Linked DNA regions of Canis lupus familiaris. The main gene of each other region encodes a partner of the protein of the gene in region 5 in a complex. Links are inferred from orthologs where the notes say so. Each region holds a gene or a part of one and is shown on either strand. Other genes may lie near its edges. The genes, in order: TFDP1, TFDP2, E2F5, ARID4A, RBL1, MYBL2 and E2F4.

The links.
Region 1: the proteins of RBL1 (region 5) and TFDP1 are in contact, whole or in part, in a crystal structure (PDB 5TUV), measured with the Homo sapiens proteins. The link is inferred for Canis lupus familiaris from reciprocal best matches to the Homo sapiens genes RBL1 and TFDP1. Residues at the interface, in NP_002886.2 of Homo sapiens: Tyr1004, Phe1006, Asn1007, Ser1011, Leu1014, Ile1017, Asn1018, Ile1021; in NP_009042.1 of Homo sapiens: Pro260, Phe261, Ile262, Thr290, Phe291, Glu292, Ile293, His294, Asp295, Ile297, Glu298.
Region 2: RBL1 (region 5) and TFDP2 share a complex: the UniProt entries of both Homo sapiens proteins name them as parts of the DREAM complex. The link is inferred for Canis lupus familiaris from reciprocal best matches to the Homo sapiens genes RBL1 and TFDP2.
Region 3: the proteins of RBL1 (region 5) and E2F5 are in contact, whole or in part, in a crystal structure (PDB 5TUV), measured with the Homo sapiens proteins. The link is inferred for Canis lupus familiaris from reciprocal best matches to the Homo sapiens genes RBL1 and E2F5. Residues at the interface, in NP_002886.2 of Homo sapiens: Ser1000, Ala1001, Leu1002, Leu1003, Tyr1004, Lys1005, Phe1006, Asn1007, Ile1017, Met1020, Ile1021, Gly1024, Glu1025; in NP_001942.2 of Homo sapiens: Met162, Ile190, Ala192, Pro193, Ser194, Gly195, Thr196, Gln197, Leu198, Glu199, Val200, Pro201, Ile202, Pro203, Glu204, Met205, Tyr213, Leu217.
Region 4: the proteins of RBL1 (region 5) and ARID4A are in contact, whole or in part, in a crystal structure (PDB 7SMC), measured with the Homo sapiens proteins. The link is inferred for Canis lupus familiaris from reciprocal best matches to the Homo sapiens genes RBL1 and ARID4A. Residues at the interface, in NP_002886.2 of Homo sapiens: Tyr849, Ile850, Lys853, Val854, Thr860, Phe861, Gln862, Met865, Lys866, Arg869, Tyr879, Arg880, Asp929, Leu930, Ile931, Tyr934, Asn935, Val939, Ala946, Leu947; in NP_002883.3 of Homo sapiens: Leu957, Val958, Cys959, His960, Glu961, Val962, Asp963, Leu964, Asp965, Asp966, Leu967.
Region 6: RBL1 (region 5) and MYBL2 share a complex: the UniProt entries of both Homo sapiens proteins name them as parts of the DREAM complex. The link is inferred for Canis lupus familiaris from reciprocal best matches to the Homo sapiens genes RBL1 and MYBL2.
Region 7: RBL1 (region 5) and E2F4 share a complex: the UniProt entries of both Homo sapiens proteins name them as parts of the DREAM complex. The link is inferred for Canis lupus familiaris from reciprocal best matches to the Homo sapiens genes RBL1 and E2F4.

Annotation. Positions count from the first base shown.
Region 1 is NC_049243.1:61,025,366-61,029,440, reverse strand, and holds the start of TFDP1 (transcription factor Dp-1), read right to left. Parts: upstream 2,801-4,075; 5' UTR 2,719-2,800; coding exon 2,692-2,718; intron 1-2,691. UniProt on the Homo sapiens protein: Can stimulate E2F-dependent transcription.
Region 2 is NC_049244.1:38,314,548-38,318,047, reverse strand, and holds part of TFDP2 (transcription factor Dp-2), read left to right. Parts: intron 1-147; coding exon 148-310; intron 311-3,500. UniProt on the Homo sapiens protein: Can stimulate E2F-dependent transcription.
Region 3 is NC_049250.1:32,350,466-32,353,965, reverse strand, and holds part of E2F5 (transcription factor E2F5), read right to left. Parts: intron 2,350-3,500; coding exon 2,240-2,349; intron 1,282-2,239; coding exon 1,120-1,281; intron 1-1,119.
Region 4 is NC_049229.1:33,999,709-34,003,208, reverse strand, and holds part of ARID4A (AT-rich interactive domain-containing protein 4A), read right to left. Parts: intron 3,393-3,500; coding exon 3,295-3,392; intron 2,791-3,294; coding exon 2,559-2,790; intron 1-2,558.
Region 5 is NC_049245.1:26,287,936-26,291,435, forward strand, and holds part of RBL1 (retinoblastoma-like protein 1), read right to left. Parts: intron 2,767-3,500; coding exon 2,555-2,766; intron 1-2,554. UniProt on the Homo sapiens protein: Key regulator of entry into cell division. Directly involved in heterochromatin formation by maintaining overall chromatin structure and, in particular, that of constitutive heterochromatin by stabilizing histone methylation.
Region 6 is NC_049245.1:31,976,504-31,980,003, reverse strand, and holds part of MYBL2 (myb-related protein B), read right to left. Parts: intron 2,934-3,500; coding exon 2,841-2,933; intron 2,648-2,840; coding exon 2,427-2,647; intron 1-2,426. UniProt on the Homo sapiens protein: Transcription factor involved in the regulation of cell survival, proliferation, and differentiation. Transactivates the expression of the CLU gene.
Region 7 is NC_049226.1:82,754,895-82,757,756, forward strand, and holds the end of E2F4 (transcription factor E2F4), read right to left. Parts: intron 1,842-2,862; coding exon 1,794-1,841; intron 1,603-1,793; coding exon 1,558-1,602; intron 1,457-1,557; coding exon 1,341-1,456; 3' UTR 501-1,340; downstream 1-500. Other genes in the region: ELMO3 (engulfment and cell motility protein 3), read right to left, coding at 31-108. UniProt on the Homo sapiens protein: Transcription activator that binds DNA cooperatively with DP proteins through the E2 recognition site, 5'-TTTC[CG]CGC-3' found in the promoter region of a number of genes whose products are involved in cell cycle regulation or in DNA replication.

The DNA.
Region 1 (4,075 bases), on a different chromosome or scaffold from region 5:
CCTTGAAGCGAGGACCTAGCTATAGCAGGAGAGTGACTCAGTGCCCCCACAATGACAGCAGCACCTGTCAGACAGCCCCAGACACCCCCCTCCCCGGCACATCACCGGCGCTGCCAGCTCCTCCTTCCCACAGCCCCAAGGGCTCCTCAATCCCATAGATGTGGCCCTGAAGGCCCTGTCCACAATCCTTCACACCAGAGCAGATGCATGAGTGGACGCTGGACAAAGACCCGATGAGAACAGGGCCTGACTGCCCTCACGAGTCTACCCCGGTAGGACTGGTGGGACCCAGCATCTGCCCTGATCTGGTGCCACTGCACGTGCCGCTCTGGCGCTCACTGGCCGTTCACTGGAATGCCAAGAATGCTGCCACCCCTGTCCCATAGAGATGGCGCTCATGGTTGGCACAGCAGTGGCACAACCCTAGCAACCCTCACAACCCAAAGCAAGAACCAAGCTGGGAAGCCCCAAGTCCCCCTGGGGAACACCCAGTCTGACTCGAGCTATAGGTCAGAGCAGCCCGTCCTCCCTGGAACAGAAGGGCTTCATCTTCCCCCACCACGGGCTGCCTGCAGTAGCACCCAATGGGCGGCCTGGGCGAGAAGAGACCAGCACAACCTTTTCTGGAAAAGTCTGGGAATGGATGAAGAGGCCAGTCCCTACCAGTCTCAATGTCAGGACCCAGAGCTGAGGAGCCACTGGAGAACCAACGGACAAGACATAAAGGAAGGCAGCTGCAGAGCCCAGAGGATGAAGGAGCCACACAAGCACTGGACAAGAGACAGGTCCCCCACAAGTATCAGGTCTGCTCCGTGATACCAGGAAAACCCTCACATGAACCCTGAGTGCTCATGCTCGGTCAGATTCCTGTCTCTTGTACTCCCAAAGAGCTCGTGTAAAAGGGGGGCTGGGAATTTTAATATGGGCGGTGCACCCACCACCTGTGCAGCAGGCCGGGCCCAGCCTCACTCTGTCCCGTGAGAGCCCAGTGATGGGCAGTGGCCAGGCACAAAGCGGCTGCAACATCCAGAGCATACTGTCCCAGCAGCACGAGTCCAGATCTCAGGCTGGGAAGACCCTGTCTGACGCAGTTTGCCCTTCACTGTTAGACCAGCAGCACACAGGCCACCACCACCAGACGCTGGCAGCCCCCCAGGTGCGACAACGCCTGGAGGCTATAGGTGCCATTTCTGGAAATGCACTGCCTCTGATGGGATCATCTGCCCAGAGCTGCCAGGTCAGGAAAGACACACCTGTCTTATTCCCAAGCCTGGTTTTCAGTTCGGAGCCTAAGAACCACAGGACAACAAATCTGACCTAGAAAGAAGCTAAGCAGCTGGCAACCAGCTCCTGTGGACGCCTACACTGTCCACACTCAGGACGGTGACCAGTTTACCCCACAGCAAGTCTTCCAGACACAGAAATGATCTGTTTGGAGACAGAACATGCGTCAGAATCACAAGAGGTGCGAGCTTGTTTTTCACTAACAAAATGAGAAAAACAAAAACACTACTTTTAATGCTCTTGTTCACGGGTGATGTGGAGAACAGCTTGTACCCCAAGCCTGGGGGATGGTGACCAACATATGAGACAGAACTGGGAAACCACGGGCCCCAGGCACTCTGCTGGGGCTGGGGCGTCAGGCTCCAGGAAATCGCCACACCATCAGGCAGACCTGTCCTCGCCTGGGGGCGAGGTGGGAACAGAGATGGCGAGATGGTATGCTGTGTCCCACTGTGGGTCACCAGGAGAGGTGACAAGGCCCGTGGGTACAGCTGCCGTGGAGGCCAGTGCTTTGGGTACACACTTTCTGGTGGCTGCAGAGCCGGGCAGTGTCTCCACTGCAACCCAGCCACTCCCAAATTCTGACCCACAGAAACCCTGCAGGAGAATAAACATTTACTATTATTTTAACCACTGAGCTTTGGGGTCCTTTGTTTCACAGCAATGACGACAGTGGTCAATCGTTTTGCTACAGAACCTAAGGGAAAAAAAATGCTTCTTTTCATCAACTGGGAAGTCATTCAATATATTTCTGAAACAAACTTTAACAGTAGCACACAGATTTGGCACAAATTTCCTGGTGTAAGACCACTCATTGCCAATTATCAAAGACAAACAGCCATGACCAAAGTAACGTATCTAGGTTTCCTGACCTCAGACAACAGCACCTGATGAGTGCGTCCACAAGGAGCGATGGCCTGGGAGTAAGCGAGCCCTGTGGTGCCCGGCTGGCAGGATCACCGCTGACTACTCAGGCAGCAGAGGCCTGGCAGCTGCGATACCAAGCAGGACACTCCTGAGGCCAACTGGCTTCCCTGTACGGATGACCTACACTGGCTCCAGTGCTGGTTCATCCTGCCCAACTGCCCACACTCACAGCACAACACAGTTTCCACACGAAGCCCAGGCCCCACCCAGCTCGCATCCCCCAATTCCGCTCTCTGTGGAGAGACACACTTGAGTGCAGCAGGCTGTGCAGGTCTACTTCATCTGGAGGTGCACAGCCCACGAGGGCTGCACCCCTCCCGTGCGCAGCAGGTACAGTGGCCCACGACAGCAGCAGAAGCGTGAGGACAGAGTCTTTATACTCAAAATGCAAACCTACCCTCCAGTAAGAAAAACACCAAAATGCTAAATTTGTGTTAACACATAAACCAAAAGCAGAAGCACTCGTGTGCCACAACTAACCGTTTTTCTTACAAACATGGCATTCATCCTTTCATGTTTGTGCTACATGAAAACAAAACCAGCTGCTATGTTCTCATGTGGGCAACGAGGATCCCGCTCCCACAGAAAGTCACCAAGCCGCCTGGAGAGCTGAGCCAACTGCAAGGGCAGACAGAAAGGGGATTAAGACCACTTTAGATGATTCACAGAACGAGCCAGAAGTCACCAGGCTCCAGGCTTCAGAAAGTCCACCCATGTCCCTCCAAGCGCCCTCTACCCCCCACAAGGCGCGAGGGCCACAGCAAGGCCCTGCCTCATCCTGCCGCCCACCCTGGATCTTCCTCCCCCTCCACCCACCCCATCATCGCCCCCTACCCCCATCCTCTCCCTGAAACACACCCCATGAGACAGACTCCCTCTGGGCGCCCGCATGACAAGCAGGACAGAGCCCCAGAACTCAGGGCCCGTTGGAGATGAAGCCTGTGACAGGGCAGCAGGGCGCAGCTCCCGGTGGGAGGGGAGGCCAGGGCTGCCTCACTGCCCCCCTCCATGGGCAGGCCCCATGCTTCCCACCACCTCTGCACACTTTCTACTTCCAAACAGGTTACCTACCACGGAATACAAGTCCCCACGGGGGAACAGAAGCCCCTTAAGGCAGGACAGAGGCCTGGGCAGACAACCCCCATGGCAAGTCCAGATCGAAGCGGTCCCCCAGCCCGGCACGGAGGCTGGGAAGGGCTGAGTGGTGGCACCCAAGCAGCCACTGTTAAGTCTCAAACAAATGGCAAGACGCTCCAACAGAACTTCACCTCCTAGAAGAGGCAGTAGGCTAGTCATTCAAAGACAGAAGCATGAAAGCACCCAAACGGGGCCAATGAACGGATGGAGAGTCAATGAGGACATGGAAACGTGGAAAAGCCAGCAGAGAAAGAGAAACCTACACACAGATCTCCTCAGGGACAGTCACACAAAACGTGGGGCACCTGAAGGAAGCTACAAGGGCCTTGAGAGAGGGACCACCCTCCTCTACTGACCTTGCCCCCAGCCCCCAGTGATACTCCTTACAGGGGCCCCTTTGCACACGCAGCGGTGGCCAGCACCCAACCACAGTATCAGAAGCACGTCTGGGCCGAGGGGGCATGGAGTGCTGCTGGGAGTGCCGGCAGGAGGCAGACACAGTGCTACCAGCAGTGATGGGTGTGGAAGAGGGCAGTGGAGTCCTTCCACAGAGGCCAACAGAGACACCAACTCCCAGGAATCACAGCACCCACGGGGCCACACAGGAGACTCCCTGGCTCCCTGATGGATACACGCCACAGCCACGGGGCAGAAACCTCAACACTGCAAATCATACCACAGAATGCCAAACGCTGCTCAACACCTCCCGTTTCAGGGGGGACCTGCA
Region 2 (3,500 bases), on a different chromosome or scaffold from region 5:
AAAAATTAAGTTCAGAACATTTCCTCATCTCTAATTCAATTTAAAATTGACCACCTAAAGCAAAAATCAAGTTAGTATATTCTCACATTACTTTATAGTTTCATAAAGGAAGTCTGGTGTATAAATATGCATTTTTTTCTCTTTTAGTAAACGAAGCAAAAAAGGAGATAAAAATGGAAAAGGCTTGAGACATTTTTCCATGAAAGTATGTGAGAAAGTTCAGCGGAAAGGTACAACGTCATACAATGAAGTGGCCGATGAGCTGGTATCAGAGTTCACCAATTCAAATAACCATTTGGCAGCTGATTCGGTAGGTAGATCATGCACTTGACATTGACTATGATGAGTGATAGAACAGTGTATCTCTAGGTTGACTGTGTCTTTTTTTTTTTTTTTTTTTTTTTTTTGACTGTGTCATTTTTTTAAGGACTCAGACAAGCTAGGGAATCCCCAACTCCTTTACGTGAGGGTTTCATATTGTCTTTTGGGGAATTCTTCTGTTGAGTTTTGTTTTAGAAAGGGTTCTTTTATTATCTATTTAAACATAAAGATTAGCATGTATTTTTTAAATATACTTTGGGGAGTTACAAAAGGAACATACTTTTTTAAAAAGATTTTATTTGTTTATTTGAGAGCACAGCAGGAGGAGCAGCAGGCAGAGAATATTCATAGAACATTATAGACATATTTATGGAACATGTAAGTCCTCTTTTTAACCACAGACCTTAATCTTTCTCCACAAAGGCATATTCACTATTACCAGATTCTTTAGTATCATCCCCAAAGTTCCTTAGGCATACACATAATAAAACCTATTCCCTATTTTATTTTATTTTATTTTATTTTATTTTATTTTATTTTATTTTATTTTATTTTATTTTATTTTTAAGATTTTGTTTATTTTGGAGAGCTACAGAACAGTTCTGTCACTCCCAAAAGGTTCTTTCTGCCTTTTGTAATGTATCCCTCCTTCCCTCCTTCTCCCTCTATCCCTAGGCAATTGCTGATCTGCTTTTTATCATTATAGATCAATTTGCACTTTATTTAAATGTGATCATATTATATATACTCCACAATTCTTAAAATAGTTCTTGACCTTACTGGAAATATGTTTAATATTCCAATCTTAATTATGACAAGGGTTTTATTTTGAAATGATAGCATCCATAACTTGATTTTTTAAATGAATGTTTCTTTTTTTAATTTTTTATTATTTATTTTTAAGATTTTATTTATTCATGAGAGACACAGAGATGCAGAGACACAGGCAGATGGAGAAGCAGGCTGCCTACAGGAAGCCCAATGTGGGACTCGATCCCAGGATCCTGGGACCACACGCCAAGCCACCCAGGCATCCTGAATGTTTCTTTTTTCTTAACTAAAAATAATCAGAAATGGATATTTAATTTATTCCAATTTTGTGTAGTTTTGAAAATTTGGGTATTTTACACTGACAGTCCTAAATGAGATTGATGTAATCTTTTTGTTTTTACCATCTTTGCAGTTGTTTTTTTTTTTTTTTTTTTTTCCATCTTTGCAGTTTTGATTTGCAGTGTTATGCTGGGCTTTTTAAAATTTAGAGGGTTTTTTTCCTTCTTCCACTTTACTCCATTATAGGTTTAATAGCATTAGATGTGTATTTTGCTTCCCTGACATTTTATAGAATAGAAATCACCTCTGATACCATCTAGGCATGGTGATTTGGTGGGGGGTAATGCTTAGATAGCATTCTCCATTTTTACTTTGGTAATTAGCCTGTTTAGAATTTTTGTCTCCTTTAGTATTTTATGGTTTCTTAGAAAATCCTCCATTTCATACATGTTCTTAAAACTATTTGCAATTATTTTTCCCAAAGAACCATCTCCTAAATTTGTATGGACTCTTCTGTTTTGTAGTTAATTTCTTTTTTTTTTCCTATGTTCATTTAATAGTATCTTCTCTTTCCTGAAGTTACTTTTGTTATTTTTCTATCCTGTAGATTATGATATATACTTTATTTACTTTGATTATTTTTGTTTAGTAATGAAAATGTTTTTTTTTTTTTTTTTATTTATTTATTTATTCATGAGAGACACAGAGAGAGGGGCAGAGACACAGGCAAGGGAGAGGCAGGCTCCTCACAGGGAGCCCGATGTGGGACTTGATCCCTGGACCAGGGATCACACCCTGAGCCAAAGGCAGACGCTCAACCACTGAGCCACCCAGGCGTCCCAATGAAAATGTTTATAGCTGTGACTTATCCTCATGTGCACTGCTTTAGCCATTTCCCATTGATTCTGATATATTACTCTTTAAATATTCTGCAACTTTGGTTTTAGTTTCCTCTCTGACCTAAGAATGGCATTAGAATTTTTATATTTCCAGGTAATAGGGATTTTTTTTGTAAATTGAACTATTTATATATTTTTTAAAATTGCTTTGAGATTTTTCTTGTGAGCCATTATTTGGTAATGCATTTTTTTTCTTTTCTCTGGCACCTGTAGAGAAGGTATGTCGCATTCTGATTCTGAGTGAAAGTGGAAATTTTCAAAATGTTCTACAAGACCTATATGATCTAGCCCACCATTACCTCTCTCATCTCATCTCCTACTAGGAACTCTCCCAGTTACTATACTCTAGCCACCTTATGATAAAAGTTTTATCTTGAAATTATAGCAACCATAACTTGATCTTTTAAATGAATATTTCTTTCATTTTTCTTAATTAAAAAATTCAGAAATGGATATTGAATTCAATCAAATTCTGTGTGTTTCCTGAAAATTTAGGAGTTTTACACTGACAGCCATGAATGAGATTGGTGGGTTTTTGTTTGCTTTTTGTTTCGGGGTGAATATGCCAGGTACGTTCCTTATCAGACTGTTAGACTTGCTATTTCCTATGTCTGAATCTCTGCTAAGGAGCCATATGGTTTCTCTCTTCTCTCCAATTTTTATTCAGATGTCACTGTACCGAGGCATTTCTTCTTAACACATTTTATCATCTAATATAAATTTTAACTTACCAACCCCATCCTCATCCCTGAATACAAGCAAGAGTTGGGGGTTTTCTGTCTATTCACTGCTGTGTTATTTTTTTTTTATAAATATATAAATTGGAAGGTTTGTAGTCTTTAGTTCTTTAACTGGTTATCTTTATAACTTTAAGTAACTTCAGTATTTTGTTTCTTTTGTTGTTACCTATAAACCAATATCTGTTGATTATGAAGGGAAAAAGTTAATATGCTTCTATCTACTTGCATGTCCCATCTTTTGTCTACCACAGATACAGATTGAATATCTTAGTGGTAGTTGTTAAAAGAGTAATATTATTACAGTTTGTTTTTATGACTTTAAATAAATATATTGTGCCAAAACCTGTGTTACTATTTACTTCATCTGTTTAAATAGTTAATCTGCTTTGAATCCCATACCCCTTAAAATAGCAAGGAGAACACGAGCAAGCCTATTTTGTTGTCTCCTCCTGGTATTTTTTTACTATATTATCATTATTTCCACAGTGCC
Region 3 (3,500 bases), on a different chromosome or scaffold from region 5:
TCCTTTGCTCTGAGAAGTCATTTTTTTATTTCTGTGACATCTAAGGACCTTTGAGAGGGAGATGAAAAACAGTGCATATTGCTCATGGAGCAGAGCTTCTGGAAGGGAAAATATTGATGGGGAAAAGGATGTTATCAGCAGGAGTGGACAGTGACCAGATAGACCTCCAAATCGAGAATCTTCCTGAGTCATGGTTTAGGGAATTGGGAATGGCCAAAATCTTGGAAAGCAGTGCAGCAAAGTCCGAGATCAACTAGTTCAATGGTTTTTGTATCTTGGGGCACCACAAGGCACAGCTTGAAAACCCCATTGTTATCAAACTGTTAAGGAGCTTTGATTCATAGAAAGGAAATAGCAAATGAGATCATGGACTTATTCAACAGATTACAAAACAACATAAAAAATTAGTTGTATACATTAGTCAAAATTCATGAGAAGTGGTAGGAGATAAAGGCCATTAAAAAATTCCATAAGAGTATGCATAAGTTTACAAATCAACAGAATCATTGGTATTTAAGAGAACAGTGATTTTTAAGAAACACATGAAGTAAACGCTAATTTTTTTCCCCAAAGTAATATGATAAATACATAAGCCTTGGTCCCCAAACTCAAGCAGGTACTATCTTTGAGTTAATATTAGGCAGAAAGTATCCTGGATTGATTGCAGGCTCATGATATTTTATTTTTAAGTAAATATTAATTTTTCAAAACTTTCAGAACTACTGAATTTTTAACCACTTCAGAACACTGAGCATAATTATTTAAATATACCTATACATTTAACAATGACTTCTAATATTCAGAAACCCCCATGCACACTTTAGCTAGCATACTGCATCCTATCAATGAGAGATTGAAAGTAGATGAATTTTTCTCAATGCAACACAAGAATGTTAATAGATGTATTATGTACTTTAAAAAGTAAAAACTTTTCAAATGTTAGTATAAATTACTAGAATAATATAAAATTAAAATATATTCACTTATAAAACTTTTTTAAAAAACAATAGAATAAAGTAACTGATCTTCAGACTGGAAAATATATAAATACAAATTCTACAGCTATATGTGTAACTTATTTATTTATTTATTTTATGTGTAACTTATTTAAAAGGATATCTATTATTAATGGAGTCGTCCATCACATTTTTGATGCTTTGCTGTAGCCACAACTTCTGCTGATCAAGTTCTCTTTCCTTCAGTTCTAGATCTTCAATTTCAGCTTTAAGATATCTTAATCTATCTATGACTTCTTTAGTATTACAGCCAGCACCTACACCTCTTAAAAACATACAAGAATTAGTATTCCCAGTATCAGGCCCAGGTTAACATCATTTACTTTTTATAGTAATAATAAAAACTGACTTAGTAATTTATTCAAAACAAAAATCTTTGTAATTTTCTAAAAATCAAGCATTAAAATCCTTAGAAAACTTAAACATCGTACCTCTGAATATATTTGCTTAGAAAATGTATCAGCAAGAACAATCAGATTATCAAAATTCTCAATGTTTTTGCCATACAGAAAATGAAAATTTTTATAAAGTCAAAAAAAAAAAAGTTTTCAGTATGCCCTAGAATGGTGCTTGTCCTCTGAAAGGCCAGGCTAGTGACGGGCACCAAAGGGGTGTCAGAGCTAAACAGTCACACCTGGAAGTGTCAAGATGTAGACTGAGATGCTGGTAAAATAAATTACCACCTTTTAATATTTTGGTGAGATTCTGGCTTTAAAACAAAACAAAACACAAAACTAAGGCCAAAGGGGACAAATCTGCAGAACAGAAAGGATTTTTTACATTCAAACATACAACCATACAACAGTTAACAAATGACAACATGCATTTCGATCAACTTACTATATATATGGTACACATTCCTACATATAGCATGTAGTTCCTGATCTTAAGGAGTTTATGTTAGCTGGGCAGCTATACACTTAGGCAGAGAGGGATTAATAATACAAAGCAGCATGCAGTGTGTGCCAAATGAGCATCCTGAGGGAGAAAATAAGTTGTGAATGTTCAGACTGTAAATCAACAGTGGACAGAGCAAGGCAACATGCCAACACAGGAGTGACACATACAGAGGCCCAGAGCGGTGTGCAGGGAAGGACAAGGCGCCTGCCTGGTGAGACCAGGGGGCCAAGAGAGAGGATTTAGGAGAGCTAAACAGGTCAGATCTTACAGAGCATAGGAAGAAAAATAAAGGTTTTAGACTAGGGTGCTGGTTTGTGACTTACTTCCATTGTATACTGTTTTTTGACTTTTTTTCAATCAGGTCAATTCCCTCCAAGACATTGGTGATATCATAAATTCTTCTCTTTTGTCTCACAGCCAGAGTATCTGCAGCCTGTTTTTTAAAAAGGGGGTGGGGGGGCAAAGCACAATGAAATAAAGGACAATTCGTATTTTAAAGCCAAAAAAAGATTAATTATTAAGTTGACAGCATGAGAGCCCAATCCCAAATTTGACCTGGTCAGTTGCTTGGGAACAATAGCTCTGAAACCTAGCAAATACCAAAGAAATTATTCCATTTAAAAGCCAGCAGATGTTAGAGTGGGGAAAAAATATATGAAATATTAAAGGTCGTGACACGAAGCCCGCAAAAATAAAAGAACACAGTAAGAATACTTCATGTCATCTTATGGACTAATCCCAAGGAGGAGCTACTAATTGTCTACCCGTGTCACTTCCTATTTTATTTCTCTGTTCATAAACAGTCTCGTCTAAAAATAGCAGCGGTTTGGTGCCGCCTGCAGCCTGGGGTGTGATCCTGGAGACCCGGGATCGAGTCCCACGTCGGGCTCTCTGCATGGAGCCTGCTTCTCCCTCTGCCTGTGTTTCTGCCTTTCTCTGTGTCTATGAATAAATAAATAAAATCTAAAAAATAAAAAAATAAAAAATAAATAAAAATAAAAATAGCCTTGTTTTTTCAACTTTGGAAAATTACATCTCAGCAACCTGTTAAATAATTAAGTCTAGATACTTGGCGGGGGGGGGGGGATTCTATATTATACATACATTTGTAGAACCTTGAAATGTACTATCTACATTTTTTAAATTCACAGTGAAAATGGAGGAGTGCATCATGCCATCCCAACACAAAGCATAAAATCAACAAGAAATCAGAATCTATGGCGCAAAGTCATGGTGCCAGCAGATACAATACGAAAGCTTGGTAGTCTGACTCAACAAAAGTTAGGTCAAGAAGAATATTTCATGCTATCTAATGATACGAATAAAATGCAGGAATATCATACTGTTTCTCTAACTGGTTCCCACTCACACTTGGGAGCTTCATTCTACCTAATGCAATAGACAAAACCTTAAAAAAGAGGTTATCCTACAGCTCTTTTTCAGGGGGAGTTAGACAATAACCTATCTTGAATGTGGAGTCACATAATAAGAGTCATGGTAGTAATGAAAAACACATTTATGTCCTTACTGGCAAAGCTCAGCACGTTACCCAAATTAATGAACAGAATTTAGCTTCATATAATG
Region 4 (3,500 bases), on a different chromosome or scaffold from region 5:
AGCATTCTTGCTCTCTCTCTAAAAAAAATAAAAATAAATTTTAAAAATAAAAGGACTAAAATGCATCCATGGCCAACAGGTGAGCTGATTTCTTTGAATAAGTATTTGGAGCTCACTGGGCTGGTAGTAATTTGTTCTTCCCCAGAAGCTTTCATTTAGCCTCTTGTATGCTCAACTGACTGTGAAACTGTTGAGCCATTTCATTCTCTCCTAAATTCTCCTTCAGGTCCACCGCTACACACTGGCAGTTTCCCTCTACTTGGAATAAAGTGAGGATAGAAAAGGGGCCAACAAATAAAATCTTTAAAAAAGGGAGGGGGGGAAATCCCTGGGTAGCTCAGAGGTTTAGTGCATGCCTTTGGCCCAGAGTATGATCCTGGAGTCCCAGGATTGAGTCCTGCATCAGGCTCCCTACATGGAGCCTGCTTCTCCCTCTGCCTGTGTCTCTGCCTCTCTCTCTCTCTCTCTCTCTCTCTCTCTGTGTTTCTCATGAGTAAATAAATAAAATCTTTAAAAATAAAAAAGGGGGGACCAACAACTTAGAGAGTACTAAAATAACAACTAGTATTTCAGTATAACAAATGTTTTCCCTAGTTCCTATGTGCTATTTAAACTTGAAAAAAATAAAAAAATAAAAAAAATAAACTTGAAAGTTAGGGACCCCTGGGTGGCTCAGGGCTTAAGCGTGTCTGCCTTCCACTCAGGGTGAGATCCCAGAGTCCCAGGATCAAGTCCCACATCAGGCTCCCTGCATGGAACCTGCTTCTCCCTCTGCCTGTGTCTCTGCCTCTCTCTCTTTTTCTCTCTGTCCGTCCCTCACGAGTAAATAAAATCTTTAAAAAATAAAAAAATAAACTTCAAAGTTAGAAAAAAAGTGTATTTTTCTTTTCACAAAGAACTAGAATGTAAATTCCATGAGGGCAGAGATGGTCTTATATACTTCTATATCCTATGCACAGAGCAACTTTTCTTTAAATACGTGTAGGTAAATGAATGAAAACAACTGCTATCTATCAGACTTTAGACCTATATACCTTTTTCTTAAGTTACTTATTTAAGTAATCTCAAAACGTGGGGCTTGAACTCACACCCCTGAGATCAAGAGTCACATACTCTTCTGACTGAGCCAGCCAGGTGCCCTAGAAATCCCATTCTTAGAAGTCTTCCCTCTATATTCAGACCAATGAGGAGGAATTTTTACAAGTATATTTATTACAGCACTTTTTGTAATCATAAAAAATTGGAGAAAATTTTAAGGAAGGTGAATTTATGGTATATGTATATTATGTAGTACTCTGAAGATAATTTACAAAAGATGAGGAACATCTTTAATGACAGGAAAGTATGTCCAAAATACATATAATGGGAGACAATCAGTCTTAGGAAGGAATATTCAGTTTTAAAAAGGAAGGAAATTGTGACACATACACAGGAATGAACCTGAGAGACATTATACTGAGTGAAATAAGCCAGTCAAAAAAGGACAAAGCTGTAAGATTCCATATATATGAGGTACCTAGAGTAGTCAAATTCAAAGAGACAAAGTAGAATGGTTTTGCCACAATCTTGGGTAGAGGGGAATGGGGAGTTATTGTTTAATGGCTAGTTTCAGTTTTGCAAGATGAAAAAGGTACTGGCAAGGGACAGTGGTGATGAGTGCAAAACACTGGGAATATAGTTAATGCCACAGAACTGATGCTTAAAAATGGTTAAGAGGATACATAGTATGTGTATTTACCACAATTTTTTAAAATTAAAAATTAAAAAGAAATGAAGCAAACCAATTTGAATGTTTCATGAAATTCATTGGAAGATTCCATTTACTGGATGATGGTCAAAATGGACAGTTTTAAAAAAATGGTTTCTGAGCAACTAAAAGAGGTAATTTCATTTCTTCTTTGACTAAACATGATTTCACTAAAAAATAAGATGTAACAGGGGCACCTGGGTGACTCAGTTGGCAAAGTGTCTGCCTTCAGCTCAGGTCATGGTCCTGGAGTCCCAGGATTGAGCTCTGCATCAGGCTCCCTGCTCAGCAGGGCATCTTCTTCTGCCCATCCCCTCTGTTCCCTCTCTCTCTCTCTCACTCTCTCTTTCAAATAAATACATAAAAACTTAAAAAAAAAAAAAGATGTAACAGTAAATGAATGCCATTGATAGTGTGAAAAAATTTTTTCTCCTAAAATTTGATAAATCCTACCATGTAGACATCATTCAACAATGATCAAAAACAATGGATGACAATCTCTACAAAGGAATTATATACTAAGGGAGACTTTTAGTAAGACTTGAAGGAAGTAAATATGTGAGACTGACCACAGATGAGAATGATCTGAACAGACATAAATAGAAAACAACAGGAGGAATGGTATTTTAGGTAGAAGAAAGAAGATGTGCTATATCTAGAAAAAAATAGCCAGGCTAGTCTGCCTAATGCACAACTCAATACTGGAAAATAAACTAGGTTCACTGGCTTATTTTTGTGTGGATCTGAAAATGTCCATAATAAAAATTTAATGTTTAAAATAAACCAGGTAAAACTAATATTAAGTACTTACTCTTGGAGATTTTAATTCTATTTCTTCTCTTTCACTTTCACTGTTTGAATCAATATTTTCCTCAGGTTCACTCTTCACTTCCACTAAAGGCATTTCTTGATCTACTTTTAAAGCCTCTTCCATTGATTCTTCTAAGTCTTTTTTTTCTTCTTTTACTTTTGGTTCATGGTGGTGGACAGTTCTGAACTGAATATTTGCAGAACGGCAGTACTCCTCAAAACCATAGAGATACCTAAACAAACAGTTTCATTTTAAGAAATCTTTGTCTTTACATTTAACTTAAATACTATATTATTAAACACACATATTTTTATAAAGTAATACTCGAGACTTTTTTTAAAGTACTTTTTCTATTACTAGTTTCTCAGTGCTTTATACAGGATTATAAACAGAAATACTGATCATAAAATTTCTTCCTGAAAAAGCTATAATAGTTTTGATATGAAGGCTATTCAACATAAGTAATATAACTCTATAAACATGTATCATCGTTTCATACTATTAACGTACCACATCCCAGACTTTGAAAAGGAAATCAAGACAACACGAGAAATGGAATAAAGTAGACTTGGTGTGATGAAATAACGTTCAGTCACTAATATCTATTAACCTAAAACTTTTTATATACTTTCTCTAACTAAATGTTCCTTGATGTGTTTTTGTTTAATTGTTAACAAATTAAATGGAAAATATTCCTGTAATATGTATTCTTTGATGAATAAACTATACTACTTACTTTCTATAAGCAGTTTTTACATTGTAGGAAGCAGCTGAATTCAAAATAGGAATGCCAAGGTCCATATAAATTTGCTTCCATACAGCACCACTATCAATCTGGAAAATTAAGTTTTTATTTGTTAACATTTACAAAAGGAAATAATCTTTACACTAATATTCTAGGTTCATTAAGAAAATGTGTTTATCACCTACAGTGCATATAAC
Region 5 (3,500 bases):
GTAATAAGATGTCAATACTAGTCAAAGCAATTTAGATTCAGTGCAATCCCTATCAAAATCCCCATGATGTTTTTTTACAGAAATAGAAAAATCCATCTTAAGAAAAATCCATCCTAAAACTCATGTGGAATCTCAAGGGGCTCTGGATTGCCAAAATAATCTCGAAAAAGAAGAACAAAGTTGGAAGGCTCACATTTCCCAATTTTAAAACACACTACAAAGTTCTAGTAATCAAAACAGTATAGGACTACCATAAACACAGAGATTAAGAGGACAGGGATGCCTGGGTGGCTCAGTGGTGAGTGTCTGCCTTGGCTCAGAGCGTGAGCCCTGGGGTCCCAGGGTTGAGTCCCACACATTGGGCTCCCTGCATGGAACCTGTTTCTCCCTCCACCTGTGTCTCTGTACCCCACCCCTGCCCCGTGTCTCTCTCATGGATAAATAAATAAAATCCTAAAAAGAAAAAAAAGAAATTACGAGGACAATGCTTAGAAAAGAGCCCAGAAATAAGCTGTCACACATATGGTTCAATGGCTTTGGAAAATGGTGCCAAGACCATTCAAGGGGAAAGAGTCTTTTCAACAAATAGTGTTGAGAAAACAGATGCAAAAGAATGAGGATAGATCCTCATCTTCTACCATATACAAAATTAACTCAAAGTGAATCAAAGAATTAAACACAATTGCTGAAAATATAAAACTCCTACAAAAAAACAGGGGGAAAAGCTTCATGACATTGGAATGCTCCATGATTTCTTGGATATGACACAAAAAGGAAAAGACAGTAAAATAAAACATAGACAAACTGAACTTCTTCAAAGTCAAAATGACTATCAACACAGAGAAAAGGAAACTCCTGGAATGGGAGAAAATACTTGCAGATTATAAACCTGATAAGGATTCTTATCCTGAATATATAAAGAACTACAGCTCAATGACAAAACTCAAATACAAAATGGGCAAAAGACTTTAATAAATATTTCTCCAAGGAAAACAGATGGCCAATAAACACATGATGGATGCTCAACACCACTAATAATTAGGGAAATGCAAATCAAAACTATGAGATACCACTTCATTCTGTTTTTCTTTTTTTTTTTTTTAAGATTTTATTTATTTGAGAAAGAGCAAGCGAGAGCGAGCATGAGCAGGGAGGGAAGAGAGAGAGGGAGAAGCAGACTCCTTGCTAAGCAGGGAGCCTGATGCGGGGCTCAATGCCAGGACCCTGCCATCATGATCTGGCAGAGACTTAACCGACTGAGCCACGAACGTGCCCTCCCCACTCTTCAGTCTCATTAAAATGGCTACTATCAAAAATAACATGGGACATGTGGGTTGCTCAGTGGTTGAGCATCTGTATTCCTTTGATTCAGGGTGTGATCCTGGGGTCCTGGGATGGAGTCCTACATCAGGCTTCCTGCATGGAGCCTGCTTCTCCCTCTGCCTTATGTCTCTGCCTCTCTCTCTGTGTCTCTCATCAATAAATAAATAAAATCTTAAAAAATAACAGAAAACAGAGTTGACAAGAATGTGGAGAACTTGGAACCTCATGTATGGTAGCAGAAATATAAAACTGTTTTTTTAAAAGAATTTATTTATTCATGAGAAGGAGGGGGGCAAAGACACAGGCAGATTCAGAAGCAGACTCCATGCAGGGAGCCCAATGCAGGACTCCATCACGGGACTCCAGGATCATGCCCTGAGCTGATGGCAGAGACACTCAACCCCTGAGCCACCCAGGCGTCTCTATAGCAGGAATATAAAATGGGGCTGACACTGTGGAAAATGGTATGACAGTTCCTCAAAAAATTAAATTCAGAATTACTATTCCACTTCTGGGTATATATACAAGAAAACTGAAAACAGAGACTTGAGTAGATATTTGTACACTAATGTTCATAGCAGCATTATTCACAATAACCAAATGGTAGAAACAACCTAAATGTTCATGTATGGATGAATTGAAAAACAAAATGTGATATATAAATACAGTGGGATATTATTCAGACTTAAAAAGGAAATTCTGAATGATGCTATAATATGGATGAATCTTGAAGACTTATGCTAAGTGAAACAAACCCTGTTACAAAAGGATGCATATTTGTACTTATATGAGGTACCTGGAATAGTTAAATGCATAGAGACAGAAAGAAGAATGGTGGCTGCCGGGAGCTGGTGGTGGGAAGAGGAATGGGGAATTATTGTAATTGGAACAGAGTTTCAGTTTAGGAAGATGACAATGTTCTGGGATGGATGATGGTGAAAACTGTGTATCAATGTGAATGTACTTAATGAAACTTTACTGTACACTTAAAAATGGTTAAAATGATAAATTTTATATTATGTATATTTTACCATACACACAAAAGAGAATGCTAAAGGTGCTCTATTACTCAATAGATGCACTGATTAAATGAGATCATTTTATTTTTAAATAATCTCTATACCCAATATAGGGCTCGAACTTACAACCCTATGATTGAGTCACATGCTCTACTGACTGAGCCAGCCAGGCACCCCAAATGAGATCTTTTGGATGCCATAAAATCACATACCTTTCTATAAAACAGTGCTAAAGAACCAGTTCTCTTTGGTTTGCTTATTCCAGTTGGATGTGCCTCTTGCGCTTTAGTCAGATGAGTCTGTTTCGGAGAAGCACCAATTAATGACTGAGCAGTAAGTGATATAGGACTCTCGACTTTGGACTCCTGAGCTGTGTTCATGGAAATTGGTATCAGTGTGATTTCTCCAGCATCATTTGCAATACCTAAACATATAAACAAGAGTTTTCAGTTTTAGAAATAAGCTGCATGTGTTCCAGAAAGGTTGTCAATTATCTTTAACTATCTATGTATAAACATAGGAATAGGTGAGAAAAGGAGAAGAAATCCACAAAAATATTAATTCTAGATTTTTTTTTTTAATTCTAGGTTATAACACCCTTGTTTTCTATTTCTGCTCTGAAAAAATACTGTTTTCTTTTGAACTCTAAAGGAGATGTTTTTAATCAAGAAACAAGATTTTTGCAACTCATTCATAAAGCTCAGATAAAAAAGTAAAATAGTCTTAACAAAAAGAATGGTAAATTTTTAAAATGTGAAAATTCAAAAAACCGTGTAAGTTCAAAACAAAACAAAAACAAAAGATGGAAACAGGATTTTTATGGCAATGACACTATTCTGTATAATACTATAATGGTGGATATGTGTCATTAAACTTTAGTCAAAATCTATACAATGTACAATACCAAGAGTGAACCCTAATGTAAACTATAGACTTGGGATAATAATGATGTGTCAATGTAGGTTCATCCATTGTTAACAAATATGCTATTCTGGTGCAGGATGCTGATGGTGATGGAAGCTGTGTATGTGTGGCAGTGGGTATATGGGAAACCCCTGTACCTTCTACTCAATTTGCTGTGAACCCAAAACTGCTCTAAAATAATAAATTAAAAAAAAATAGTATAGGTTCAAAAGAAACTGGGTTAAAAAGGCCACG
Region 6 (3,500 bases), about 5.7 Mb from region 5:
GTATAGAGTAGTATAGTAGTACAGAAGCCCAAAGCAGTGGGACCCCTGGGTGGCTCAGCGATTGAGCATCCACCTTTGGCTCAGGGTGTGATCCTGGGTCCTGGGATCGAGTCCCACACTGGGCTCCCTGCATGGAGCCTGCTTCTACCTCTGCCTATGTCTCTGCCTCTCTCTGTGTCTTTCATGAATAAATAAATAAAAATCTTAAAAAAAAAAAAAAAAAAAGGGGGATCCCTGGGTGGCGCCACGGTTTGGCGCCTGCCTTTGGCCCAGGGCGCGATCCTGGAGACCCGGGATCAAATCGCACGTCGGGCTCCCGGTGCATGGAGCCTACTTCTCCCTCTGCCTGTGTCTCTGCCTCTCTCTCTCTCTCTCTCTCTCTCTCTCTGTGTGTGTGTGTGTGTGACTATCATAAATAAATAAAAAATAAAAAAGGAAAAAAAAAAAAAAAAGAAGCCCACAGCAGTACAGCTATAGGACTGCACAGCAGCAGTAGTATAGGAGTAGCATGGTACTATAGAAACACTCAGCAATAGAGCTGTAGGACTGCACGGCAGCAGGAGTACACAGCTATACAGTAGGACAGCACTACAGAAGCCTCAGCAGTAGAGCTGTAGGACTGCACGGCAGCAGGAGGACACAGCTATAGAGTAGGACAGCACTATAGCAGAAGCCTCCGCAGTAGAGCCGCAGGACTACCCGGCAGCCACAGTACAGAAGCACCGAGTAGCAGAGTACTAGGAAGGCACGAGGCAGAGTACTAGAGAACAGGGTAGTATAGTACCACAGCAGCACACGGGAGTATAACAGTATACAGCACATCATATATACAGAAATGCAAGCACACAGTAGGCACTTCCTTCTCTGGGAGTCCAAGCAGAGTGCTTTTCCTCTAAATCGTGAACAGACATGATGAACAACAGCCGGACTGACCAAGCAGTCAGAGGAGAGGGTCTGTATCCCCGAACACTCCCGCTGCAGGACAGAGTGCAGACCAGGCAGGGGTATGGGCAGAATGAGGTTGTTGCTAGGGGATCAGCCACAGTCGGAAGAGAGATACACCCCACCAAGGGCTGAAGGAGTGTGTTGGCTCCACAATGGGCACAAGCAGAGTGCATCTCAGGCCAACAGAGGAAAGCAGAGCAGCTAAAGCCCCATGGGTAAGCAAGAGTCACAGTACATCAAGGCCAGGCTGGTGGCATCAGCCAGTGCAAGCAGGTCACAGAGGGAAAGAGACCCAGGCCTCTAACCCAAGTGCTAGGAGAAGCACCAAAAGAATGACACACTCAGGTTTGAGTTTTGAATCTAGACCATTTCAGACTTCAGAGGAGATACACCATCTGGCATTTTGTCTCCTCTCCCTCCAGGACGACAGTGTCATGACCAAGGATTAAAAATAAAACTGGGGTGCCTGGGTGGCTCAGCAGTTGGGTGTCTGCCTTTGGCCCAGGGTGTGATCCTGGAGTCCCGGGATCTAGTCCCACATCGGGTTCCCTGCATGGAGCCTGCTTCTCCCTCTGCCTGTGTCTCTGCCTCTCTCTGTCTCTCATGACTAAATAAATAAATAAATAAATAAATAAATAAAATCTTTTAATAAAAATAAAACTGAGGGGATCCCTGGGTGGCTCAGAGGTTTGGTGCCTGCCTTCAGCCCAGAGTGTGATCCTGGAGTCCCAGGATCCAGTCCCACATCGGGCTCCCTGCATGGAGCCTGCTTCTCCCTCTGCCTGTGTCCCTGACACACACACTCTCTCTGTCTCTCACGAATAAATGAATAAAATCTTAAAAAAAAAAAAAAAAAAAAAAAAAAAACTGAGTAAGGGGGAAACACACAAGGACAAAGTGAACAGTAGCAAACAGCCACAGATAAGAAACAAATAAGAGATTTTTGTAAGTTTCCAGAGGATGGACAGCACTTAAGAGGAACAATAAGCAATTTAGGAGAGGGGAATTGACTCTAGAGGAAGATTCTGGCAAGAATGGAGCCAAGTCTTCCAAATACTTCCCCAGAACCCCAAGAGGCTCTTAGAGGGACCAGGCACAGCAAGGAGTAGGGGGGAGAAAGCAGTGGGTTTGAATATCTAGATCCTGGCCCTGATCTTGCATGTAGGAGAAGACAAGTTTATTCTCTAGAGAAAAAGGACCAGGCAACCCTGGCAGAGGGTAGGGATGGTCCACAGAGCTCCAACGGGGACAAAATGAAAATCTGTACACAAAGGGTACTCCCTGTCCTGATCCCAAACTACCTATATAATCAGGCACGGGCACCCCTAGGCAAGAATCTGAAGGATTCATTCATCTCTGGGAAAAGTGACAACTGCAAAGAAATCGGACTGGCTCTTGGACTATCCCCCACAATAGCCCAGTGGATGCCCTCACTTCCTAGGAACATCCACGCCTGTCCTGGCCCCTAGATGGCAGCTCACCTCCCTGGCAGCATCTTGGCGATCTCAGCCCAGCGGTTGCCAAGCACCTTGTGGGCCTCACAGATGATGCGGTCCTCCTCCTCAGTCCAGCAGGACTTCTTTACCTCGGGGTTGAGATGGTTGTGCCAGCGCTCACGGCACTGCTTCCCCAGCCGGCCCTTCAGGTGCTTGGCGATCAGCGTCCACTGCTTTGTGCCATACTTTTTGACCAGCTCGATGACCTTGGAAAAGGCCTCTGTAAAGCCAGGGGAACCCACCCCTCCCTCATCCCCATCACAGCACCTTCCCTCCACATAAGCCTCATCTCACCACAGCCCTGAGAGGGCTGGCTGACACCCTTGCCAACCCCCAGACAGCCTCACCATCCCTTGATTCACTGGGGTGGGTGAAGGCCCACCGCGTGCCGATAGTTACCTTTTGGTCCTCCTCTTTGGTCCATGGCCCTTTGACGAGGTCTGGATTCAAGACCCTCAGCCACCGGTACTGGCACTGCTGGTCAGTGCGGTTCTAGGAAGAGGACAGGAACCTGTGAGGATTCCTAGGAGAGCAGCCTTGGACCCTGGCTGAGCACTGGGTTCAAGGGGCCAGGCCTATCTCACACAGGTTTTTTGTTTCCTTCACCCACCACACACTATACTCCCACAGGTTGGAACGCACATGCTTTCCCTGTAGGAAGTTTCCCTTCCTCCTCCTCCCCTCACAAAGAGACAACCATCAGGAACCATAAATTCCTATAAAAGCTTGTGGTGTATGTCAGGAATCCTTCCTTGCCTCGGGAAAGCATTATTTCCCTGAAAGTTTCAGATCTCATGGAAACAGGGAAGGTGAGGGATGGGGTAGGAAGGGTCTGCTGATGTGACCCGAGGTGCCGAGTGACTCAGGGAATAAGCCAGACAGCAGCTCCTGCCACATCCCCTCCCTACCAGACACCTGCAGTCCTAGGGGTGGGGACATGGGGGACCTGCATCCCCAGGAGGCTTCAGCTGCCCTGGGGGGGACCTCGGCAGGAAGCCTGCTGTAAGTATCACTTCCTCTTGGTTTCAACCTCACTGCTGAGACTAATGCAAATGTGCC
Region 7 (2,862 bases), on a different chromosome or scaffold from region 5:
GATGAATGGAGGCCAGACAGGCCGAGTGACCTGGTCCAGTCGGATGAGCTGCGGGATGGCGTCAGGCTTCTGGACCGCGATCTTCACCACGTTCCGCGGGGGCGCCATGGTCCAGCCGGAGCAGGAGCGCCTGTAGTTTCCAGACCGTCCAACGTCCGGCCAAGGAAGCGCCTGGTCTGGTGCCTCCGAGAACGAGGGTGTCCCTCTGTCCAAGGCCTGGACCCGTGGCCCGCACTCACGGGTCAGGCTCCGGCTCCTGGACAGGGGCCGCGGCCTTCCCAAGGGAGCCGAGACTAGTTCCGGGTTGGAGTCCCGTGGGAAGGCGCCTGCCCTGCCCCGCCCCGGCAGCCCCGCCCCGCCCCTAGGTGCGCCAGGTGGGGGCGGGGAGGGCGGGATACCGCAACAGCCACACCTCCCTTTCCAACAAAGGTGACCCGCCCGGTCCCACCACCAATCCAGCAGAATTGCAGGGAGGGGCCCTGAAAGAACCAGATCAGAGATAGCCTTAGGCATGGTCTTTTATTCACTTGGATACTGTACAAATATTACAATTTTCTTTTGCTGCAAAAAGTATAAAAATAATCTTTATATAGGAATCCATTCGTTACTGCAAATCTTTCTAAATCTCTGCAAATGGCTCTAAATGAGGGTAAATGAATAAACAAGAAGGGAGGGTTGGTCTACAGGGCAGCAGGAGATTGGGCCAATCCTCAGGGGCTCACCTGCCCAGATTTCTAGCTAAAGACCTCTCTGTTCCTTCTGGTTGACAGCCATTCTCCTCCCCCCGCCCCCATAGGTACTCAGAGCTAAAGGTCCAGCAGATGAGGGGTACACAGGAGAGGTCTAGGGGAAGCTGCAGGGTCAGGGGTGGGGAGAAGGGAAGGAGGCTCGGAGTGGTGCTGGCAAGCATCTGGCTCCACCCTCAGCTTTCCTCCCCAGAGTGGGAGGCGTTGGCTGGAACAGGGCAGTGGGGCTGGACAAGCTGCCCTATGGGGATGATGGCAGGTCTTCAGATCTGTGCCACTGAGTGGCAGCCGAGCCTTGGCTCTGAGAGGGCTCGGAGAGGGCATGAGGTGGGGGAAAGCCCCAGAAAAGGAGAGGCAAACGCTCTGGCTCCATGGTGAAGGGGGCTGAGCCCCTTTCCCCTGCTTTCCTAGCACGGTACAGGTGCTCTACTCGTGCAGGAGTGGGAGTTTTGATCAGAACTGCAGTGAGGGAAGGCTGGGGAAGCCAGGAGTCTGTGGCTCTCAAGCCGTGTAGGGGTAGAGCAGGGGAGGTCCTCAGGCAGCCCCCAGGTCACACAGTCTGTGTCCCAGCCACACAGGGAATGTCCCTGTCAGTCAGAGGTTGAGAACAGGCACATCGAAGAGGTCACAGACACCTTCACTCTCGTCCAGGTTGTAGATGTAATCGTGGTCTCCGGGGGGTGGAGATAGGCGGAGGAGGGGGGCAAACACTGCAGAGAGCACCAGGCTGAGGCCCTGGGCCAAGCACAGCCCCCAGCAGTTGCCCAGCCCCCACTCCCACCCCCACCCTCCACCTTCCTGGGCCACCCACCTTCTGAGGACATCAGCTCCTCCAGCAGCTCTGAGCTCATGCATTCTGGAGGGAGGAAAAGCTGGGTTACATTTTGGCTCCTGGCTCTCCACCCACCAAAGCCCATGAAGAGGGCCCTCCACGCACCACCCCCCCATCAAGAACTTTTTGTCCAGGTACCAAACGCAATCACAGGGCCTCAGAAGTGCAAGAAAACAACCATGAGACCCTTACCCCACGGAAGAGTGCAGACCTACCTCTTGTGGGATCAAAGATTTCTGACAGCTCTTTGGGGAGTTCCAGAACTGAAAGACAAGAAAGCCATGCTGGAGGGCACAGAGATCCAGTCTGGTCCCATTCCAGCCCCCACCTTCCTCAGATCTACCACCCATCTTGGGGCTCCACACAGCTGGAGGTGGAGGGCATGCCCCAGGCCAAGCTGGCGTTGTCAGTCTCCCTGGCTAGATGTGAACTCCTGAGTACCCAGGGTACTAAAGGCTCATCGCAGGTGACTGATACGGCCCTTCTAACTCAGAAGTGCTGCAGAAAGGCAGCAGACCCCTCCCTTCACGGGCTCAGTAGGTATGCCCTGTCTGATGGCGGCTGCCCCACTCACTCCTGCCCTTGCTGAGCACCTGCTCAATGCTAGGCTCAGCGACCACACCCGGGACCAGGTCATCTGGCAAAGCAGGCAGACATTCGATAGGCGCTGGTGCTACAGGGTGACAAGTCTGCTACAAAGGTCTGACTGGAGGACACACGTGTGGAGCAGGGGAAAATTAAACTAGCAGAGTGCTGGTGCACGAGGACTGCACATACCAGGTGAGGGGGCTCTGCTCTTACCCACCAGCCCTTAAGAAGCTGTTGGAGGTACTCTGTAAACTCAGAAATGGCACACACAACCTGTGTTTCAGACAACCCTATCAGTCAGGGTAGAGCGGAAGATGCCGAAGAATTCAGGACAGAGGTAGCCAGTAATGACCCTGAGTATGAGGACATGAAGGCAGCGATGGGAGATGTCTGAGACAAAACTCAGTTAATGCAAAGCGAAGAGGAGATGGAAGCAGAATGATGTGCAGGTGTCAGGCCTGAGGGACCAGGGCCAATAGTAGGGTACACACTGACAGAGAAAAGCTAGTTTCAGTTAAGGACCCAGTGAAGGTGAGAGAGGGAACACAGAGGACAGTGTCAGTGAGAAGAGACTGGTGCTTGTGGGCTGAGGAGAACGAGTCCTAGAAGCGAATACCCAAATCGCAGGATAAAAAGAAGACTCAAGGCAAATGACATCACGTCCCCTGGGAAGACACTGCCCCCACTTTTGAAGCC